Arabidopsis thaliana: one gene and its partner. The protein of the gene in region 1 interacts with the protein of each later gene in a pairwise test. Each region holds a gene or a part of one and is shown in the gene's direction. Other genes may lie near its edges. The genes, in order: NF-YB7 and NF-YC10.

What was found.
Region 2: the proteins of NF-YB7 (region 1) and NF-YC10 interact in a two-hybrid assay, tested with the Arabidopsis thaliana proteins (2 studies listed by BioGRID).

The regions. Positions count from the first base shown.
Region 1 is NC_003071.7:5,654,765-5,658,319, reverse strand, and holds NF-YB7 (nuclear factor Y, subunit B7), read left to right. Parts: upstream 1-1,801; 5' UTR 1,802-1,830; coding exon 1,831-2,478; 3' UTR 2,479-2,929; downstream 2,930-3,555. Other genes in the region: NAD-ME1 (NAD-dependent malic enzyme 1), read right to left, coding at 3,217-3,291, 3,552-3,555.
Region 2 is NC_003070.9:2,472,566-2,477,216, reverse strand, and holds NF-YC10 (nuclear factor Y, subunit C10), read left to right. Parts: upstream 1-2,088; 5' UTR 2,089-2,306; coding exon 2,307-2,726; intron 2,727-3,169; coding exon 3,170-3,254; coding exon of another isoform or gene 3,255-3,265; exon of another isoform or gene 3,266-3,491; coding exon 3,492-3,533; intron 3,534-3,620; coding exon 3,621-3,694; 3' UTR 3,695-4,052; downstream 4,053-4,651. Other genes in the region: AT1G07985 (uncharacterized protein), read right to left, coding at 1,275-1,709.

The DNA.
Region 1 (3,555 bases):
TAATTAGCTAGAATGATTTACCAAATAAACAATAGTTCAAAATACACAAAATTATTTATTTTTCTTCGCATTGTTAACTGATATCAAATGTTAGATGCACTTGAAAAAATGTTGTTATGGATGGAACAAACAAATAATATGATACAAACCACTAAAACATTCAACAGCAATATAGAGATAAGATTATCGATATGGTTAATGTATCCATATCAAACGCTTTTCATGTTGAAAGATAAAGATAATTGTTAATGTATCCATATGAATCCATCCACAACATAACTGTATTAATTCGTTTGTCTGATTGGATAATTCACTATGACTGGATGACATTTATATTAAGATTTACAAATAAACATCAATCCAAAGTACATTATCCATGTTTCTTTGACCATTTATCCACATGTATATAGACATGTTGATACAATTTTATCGAGCTATAAACATATTCGCAGCAAATCAAAGACATATTTGTCCATTAATGATTGTCCAAGCAGTCCAGTCCATGATCATCTAAAGACTCACATGATAGTTTCATACTAATACATAAGTTTATACATGAACAATAAACGTCAATCCAAAGTATATTATCCATGTTTCTTTGACCATTTATCCACATGTGTATAGACAGTCAGTTACGTAGACCTCAGTCAGTTAAGGAACTTCTCCAAATCTGCCAACATCTCTACATATTTTAATGTAGACGTAATAGGTTGGTTTGAGGATACGAGGACACCGTCAACAATGAGGAGATAAGCAAGCCGAAGTCTGTGGTAAGAAGATAAGGTCTTGTGATTAACATTTTTGAAATATCACCTAACGTAGCATTCATGTCTTCACCTATTAGCTCTTCACAATGTTGGATATTATAAATAAAATTAGCACACGGTTGAATAATTAGAGCAAATAAAATGATTGGAGAAGATTAATACCTTGCATTTGAGGACCGAGTAGAAGTTACTAGCACACGCCGGAGACGACGAATCGATTGAGAGACAAGAAAATGAAGACCATGACGGGAGAACAAGTGTTGACGACGACGACGGGAGAGGACGAATTAATGTCGGCCGATTGAAAGCTTTGTTGACGATAACGACGGGAGAGGGACGAGGAAATGACTTTGCCGGTAGAAAACTCGTTGGGATGATCGCCGGAGTCGAGATGATGTTATCGTCGTTGTGATGATTTTAACTGCCCAGATAAATGAAACTGTAAAATCGTCGTGAAGGATTGGGTGAGAAAAAGAGGTTTCTCACAAATTGGTTTTAGTTTAGAGATTGAGATTAAAAAATTAAACCGAAAACCGGCTAAATTTGTTAGGTTTTGTTAAACTAACGATTTCAGGGTAAAGGGGTAATTCTACTGAGTTAAAGTGACTAATGCTTTTAAAGTGCCTATTTGTGGCCAAAGTTTCAAAATAGTGCCTTTACGTGTAATATTCTCGGATAAATAACCACCATATATATTTACCAGGCTAGAGTTTAGGAAATTACTATAATACAATAAATCAAAGCATTATGGAGACATGATAATTTATAGTTGTCTACATACTAAATAAACATACTACGGAAAATAATAAATTGAAAACACTATTTGATGACAATATGTTACATGATTGCTATTTTCTTACACTTTTCTTTATTATCTGGCAAATAACAAAGAAAAAAAAAAAAAAAAAAAAAAAGGAGCGAGTCGCATGGAGTTCCAAATTTGGTTGGCAAGGTATCCATAAATAGAAAAGTTGCCTAGTTTCATGCACTAAGCTTAACCATAAAATCAGATTGATCACATGTGGTTAACATCAATCACAAAAAAAAACAAAGAGATAGAGATATGACTGAGGAGAGCCCAGAAGAAGATCATGGGTCTCCTGGAGTAGCTGAAACAAATCCAGGAAGCCCTTCTTCAAAGACCAACAACAACAACAACAACAACAAAGAACAAGACCGGTTTCTTCCCATTGCGAATGTCGGAAGGATCATGAAAAAAGTTCTTCCCGGTAACGGTAAGATCTCAAAAGACGCTAAAGAAACCGTTCAAGAATGTGTCTCGGAGTTCATTAGTTTCGTCACTGGTGAAGCTTCTGACAAGTGTCAAAGAGAAAAGAGGAAGACCATCAATGGAGATGATATCATTTGGGCTATCACAACTCTCGGTTTCGAAGACTACGTGGCTCCATTAAAGGTCTACCTCTGCAAATATAGAGACACCGAAGGAGAGAAAGTTAACAGCCCAAAACAACAACAACAAAGACAACAACAACAGCAGATTCAACAACAGAATCATCATAATTATCAGTTTCAAGAACAAGACCAAAACAATAACAACATGTCATGTACTAGTTACATCTCTCATCATCATCCTTCTCCATTCCTACCAGTGGATCATCAACCTTTTCCCAATATTGCTTTCTCTCCTAAATCATTGCAGAAACAGTTCCCGCAGCAGCATGATAATAACATTGATTCAATTCACTGGTGAGAGAGACATTTGCTTTTTTTCTTCTTTCTTTTCACATATTATATGCTTTTCTTTACCTTTTGTGAGTACATCTTGATGCTTATATATATTTGTTGCTATATAGACACTAGACACGTACATTTTGATATTTTCAGTATACCCATGGTTTTGTGTAACAGAAATTCGTCTTCATATATTTTCCGGATTAGTTCGTCTCGAGCAAATATAGCAATCTCTCATGATTTACAACAGTAGAAACTAATTCCATGCTGCTAATTGGATTAGAATACTTACCACCTACGGTTTGAGAGTTAGTGGTCTAGCTTATAAGGTTTCCAGTAGAGAATAGCTTAATTGGAAGAGAATGGTGTATTGTTTCTCATTCATTTACTCATGTTATGATTGATAAAGATGATTGCTTGAATTAAAGAACTTCAAATTGTTCCTCACTCACTACTCTTAGTATCTTGACCTGAAACTATAAGTTATAAAAGTAAATGCATTTCTAATACGATGTATGTAAAATGTTGCTGCTATGAATCTGATTGAATATAACTTCTTTTTTACATATAAATAAGAGAAAGTGGAAGCTATGAATCTGATTGGATAACAAACAACCCAATTATATATTTTTTTTTTTTTTACATAAGAACAAGAGAAAGCAGTAGCTATGAATTTGATTGGGTATAAAGCAACCCCAATTATAAATTTTTACATATAAATAAGAGAAAGTAGACTTATTCATTTTGGGAACCAAACTTAGTCATCCTTGTAGACCAAAGTCGGGTACTCTGGATTCCACATGTTGTTTTCCACATACTCCATCAGCCCCTCCTGCGGAATACACAAGACCGCGTCAACATAACTAACATTTAGGCTTAGTTTCTGGTTTAGTCTTTATTTTCTCTAAGTGAGAAATCAGGTAAACACTCTTCTGTTCTTTACATATAATCAAACCCGATCGACATTCTTCGTAGAATACGATTTTATGATCAGGAGTCCAAAACACGTGAAAGATGGGATGTTGTTTTGACATCTTTTCTTTTTCTATCATTTATGATTATATTAAAGCAAGTCATTAGCTGAATTGTTACCTCA
Region 2 (4,651 bases), on another chromosome or scaffold:
AGCGGAGATGGGAGATCGGAGGTCGAAAATTTTGAAAATTAAGAGGCCGAATTTTGCATAAAGAAGGGGAAAAGTAAAAAATGGTCTTATTATTATTTGTTATTTTATTCCTTTGATTGATTAAGAAAAAGTTGAGCGAATTATTATTAACTAAATCGCCATTTTCACAGATTTGTGTGTCTAATAAAAGTAGACTTATGATTTTTTCGTAGTCGTTGTCTGATGATCATGATTCATGACGATGGTGGTGGTGGTGGTGATAGTAACATACATCATCTTTATGGATACAATTGAATGATCGTGAGATATTGTAACAGAGAGGGGGATACTTGCGTCACCAGCAGCAGGTGACTTGTGAATTTGTTGTGATAAAGATCACATTAATTTAAATAAAATCAGCTGTTCAATTTGCGGAATAAATAGTTGGCGAAAATTGTGCTTATAAATTTTACAACGGGATGATGAAGTACAATAAGCAAATCAATTTTGTGGATAAAGAAATGCATATGATTGTCTTAAGTTTGATTTAATGGTGTAGAATAAAAACATATAAAGACAAAAGTTGGTTGAAGTGTCAAACAGAGTGAACTCCGTAAACAGCCTCTTTTTCTTCACACCTTAAGAAACCATAGACGAAAAAAAGTTTACATATTTTTAGAAAATTTTCGATCTTTAAAAAATTTATGAGGAGATTTGTTAACCTTACATAATACTTGACAAGAGAATGATGAAATTTTTTTAGACAAAAAAAAACACGTTGAAAAGTCTCATATATGATGTCACTGATTTTTAGATCAAAATGTTGACACCCCAATTTGATCGGGAAGCAAGAAAACCCGGAGAACAGATATAAAATTAAATTGTTCTATTCTACACAAAACCTTGGGCATTTGTTAAATTTTAACTATTTACGGTTTATTTTAACCATCTCCACTGAGAATTTATCGTTACGTTTATGGAAATGACTACACACATCTTCGTTTTTCTAATCATTTATAGGTGTGTACTTGTTTTTCCTTCAAATTTTCATTGTTTCACTTGAAAAGTGCACTCTGAAAAATAGAAAGTACACTGAAAATTCATTGTTGTTTTCACTTAAAAAGTGCATACTGGACAACAAAAAACCTCAACAAACAAACGATCAAACAAGAGAGTGAGAGACCTAAAGATATTTTTTTCCACTAGCGCTTCAACAAAGAAAAAAGAAGAGAAGCTTTCATTTAAACGTGGTACGTTGAAGTATACATGATGATGTAATAAAGTACTACAATGACTCAACAACGCCAGCTCTTGGAATGGATATTAGTGGGAGAAGAAGATCCAACAACTTTATCAACCAGCTTCCTCAATCCCTTCTTCTTCTTCGGGGTCTTCTTTTCCTTATCCGTCTTATCTTCTCTCTTCCTCTCTTCTTCAACTTCTTCCTCAAACTGTGAACACAGCTTAAGCACTTGCTCCTCTACATTATTAAGTCTCTCTAGCAAAGTTCCTTTCCGCTCAGTCTCCTCCCTGACTTGTTCCATCGAACGGCAGTGTACCTTCCCTATGCTCCTCGGTGACGACAGATCCATTGACGATGGCTGAGTCCCACTAGATGGAGTCGATGGGCTCGAGCTTCTAGGCGAGCTTCCTTTCATCTCCTCTAACTTCCTCACCATGAAATCAATACGATCCAATCTTGAAAGTATCGGTTCTTCTACAACAGCCATTATTGATAACAAACGACAACGTTTCCAGAAGCTTTGGTTGTGTCGGAATAGTTGAAAGACAGTATCGAAAGCAAAACTCGTCTTCTCTTATTAATAGAGTAATAATTGGAGATTGAAAGAACACGAGCTAGGCCACGTTTAAATATTGCAGAGAGAGTTCATGGAGACTCACACGTGTTGTTGATAACACGTGGTGGTTCCAGCTTGCGGACACCTCTTCTGTCTCATACTCCAACATTACCCATTCTTCCTTATCTAATCCCTAAAATTTCTTTACATTATGTCGGGAACAAGATAATGTATTTTGGATGCTTGTATAAAAACATTATCTTATCCCAAGTACATTTACCCTAATTTATTTATTTCTCCATAAACTATACAATGTTTTACGAGGTGTATGCGAAACAGTGAAAGCATGTCCAATAATTTATTTTGAAGTAGTCGTCATGCATCTTCATTCCTCAACATCACCATGTCCATTCCTTAAATTGATCATATGATAAATGGGCCTAAAAGGCTCAAACAAATAAGCCCATGTAAATATCCATCGATTTATTCAGGCGAAAGGGTGAAACATACTGTAGTTCTAAAAAATTAATGGTGTCGTCAAAGAAACCCAAGGAGAAGAAGGCGAGGAGCGATGTCGTCGTCAATAAAGCGAGTGGTCGGAGTAAACGCAGCTCCGGTTCCAGAACGAAGAAGACGTCGAACAAGGTTAACATTGTGAAGAAGAAGCCGGAGATTTACGAGATCTCAGAATCATCGAGCAGTGACTCTGTGGAAGAAGCAATAAGAGGCGATGAGGCGAAGAAAAGTAACGGCGTCGTGAGCAAGAGGGGTAACGGAAAGAGTGTAGGAATTCCGACGAAGACGAGTAAAAATCGAGAAGAGGACGATGGAGGCGCGGAAGATGCTAAGATCAAGTTTCCGATGAATCGGATTCGGCGGATCATGAGAAGCGATAATTCTGCTCCTCAGATTATGCAGGATGCTGTATTTCTTGTCAACAAAGCCACGGTATAGTACTAATTAGACATATAAATTTAGCTTGAGGAACTTAATTTCACATGGTTTTTGATGAATTTGGGAGTATCAATTGCTAGTCAGTGTTAATTGGGCGTTATAATCTCGCAAATTGCTACAGTAATGAGATTGTTTCTGTTAATTAAGCCGGGAATTAACGTTATTGCTTCATCTCCATGTGTGTTTGATGAAACCGTAGTTACTGTGCTTGATTGTCATAGGTTTAGCTTTTACATCCAGAACTTGTAGACACCTAACACATGAGAAAGTCCTTATATATGATTTAGGTTCATATTTTCAAAGCTTAAGTGATGAGTGTTTAATTTTCCTGTATTGGAACTTGGCATTGTTTTTTCTTTCTTTTGATTTCATCTTGTGTTCATCGAAATTGATGTTCATTGCGTTTACAGTACATTAACTGGTTTTTGTGATTGAAGGAGATGTTCATTGAGCGGTTTTCTGAAGAAGCTTATGATAGTTCCGTCAAGGACAAAAAGAAATTCATCCACTACAAACACCTCTGTAAGCTCTAATCTCGTCCCTATTTGCCAATATCTGGTTACCTCAATACTGAATCCCATGTCGAAAATCTCATGCTGCTGCACCAATTGCTGAACTTAGGATTTCTGGCTTCTGCACAAGGGCCAGTAGTTAGTCTTAGGAAGAGTTTAGATAATGAGTTAATCCGTTCGTATCACTTGCAAGATTTGTTGCACTCCTAACATAATTGATGACACTGTCATTTCTACTCGTTGGCAGCATCCGTAGTGAGTAACGACCAGAGATACGAGTTCCTTGCAGGTACTTAATAACCTCTGAAGTATTCGTTTTATGAGTTCCATGTGGTTTACGAACAGCATTTTAATACCTGTAATATCTTGAATGCAGATAGTGTTCCCGAGAAACTTAAAGCAGAGGCCGCGTTGGAGGAATGGGAAAGAGGCATGACAGATGCAGGCTGAAATAAATCCGGTTGGAATCGAACTGAACCATTTGGATTCAAATTTGTGTCCCTGTCCTGGTTTATACTTCATAGGTTCCATCCGCCCGATCTTCACCTTTCTTATTAACCACTACTGAGATTGCACATATTTGATTTCTAGAATGTATACATTTTTTTTCTTGTTTCAAGTTAAAATTTGTAAGAGTTGTCGGAATTCTAATATCTTTCTTTAGTATCTATATATACATTTTTGCAGCCATTTTGTGAAATAAATTTTGTAGTTGGACTTATTTACAATGGCTGCCACTGGATTTTGATGTTTGTATTTGATAATTAGAAAGAAAATCTTCGAATTAAATATTTGACATTTAACAATCTTTCCAAAATCTCTCCACATTAACTAAACAGAGACAAAATTACAAAATATTTAGACAATGATTCATAAACATATCATAAATAAGATCAACATTAATAAAATAAATGGTTTTTTTTACTGGACGGGTTTGACAGGACGTTACTTAATAATAATTGTAAACTATAAAATAAAAATATTTTATAGTTAGATACAATTTGTAAACTTTTATATATACTAACATTAAAAAATAAATTGTTTCCGCGGTGTACCGCTGAGTTAAAATCTAGTTATAATTATAGGACAATTGGTCAGAAAATATTTAGAAAATATTTTTACCATAATTATTCTTACTAATCAAATTATAATATTAGTAAAACAAGCCAATTATCAAAAAAAGGTTTTTAAAATCATTCTTCTAGACCAATTTGAAAAAACTTTCCACATTTTCTTTTCTTTTTACACATTTTATAATTCTGTTATAAAATAAATAATCCAAAATAAGAGTTTGGGGGTAAAACTAAAAATTCAAATAATATGATGGGTATGAATAAAAATTAGGGTGGGTCCACCAGAAGCAGCGACTGAGAGCAGCTCTCAGCCGGGAAAATCCGACGATCCCTA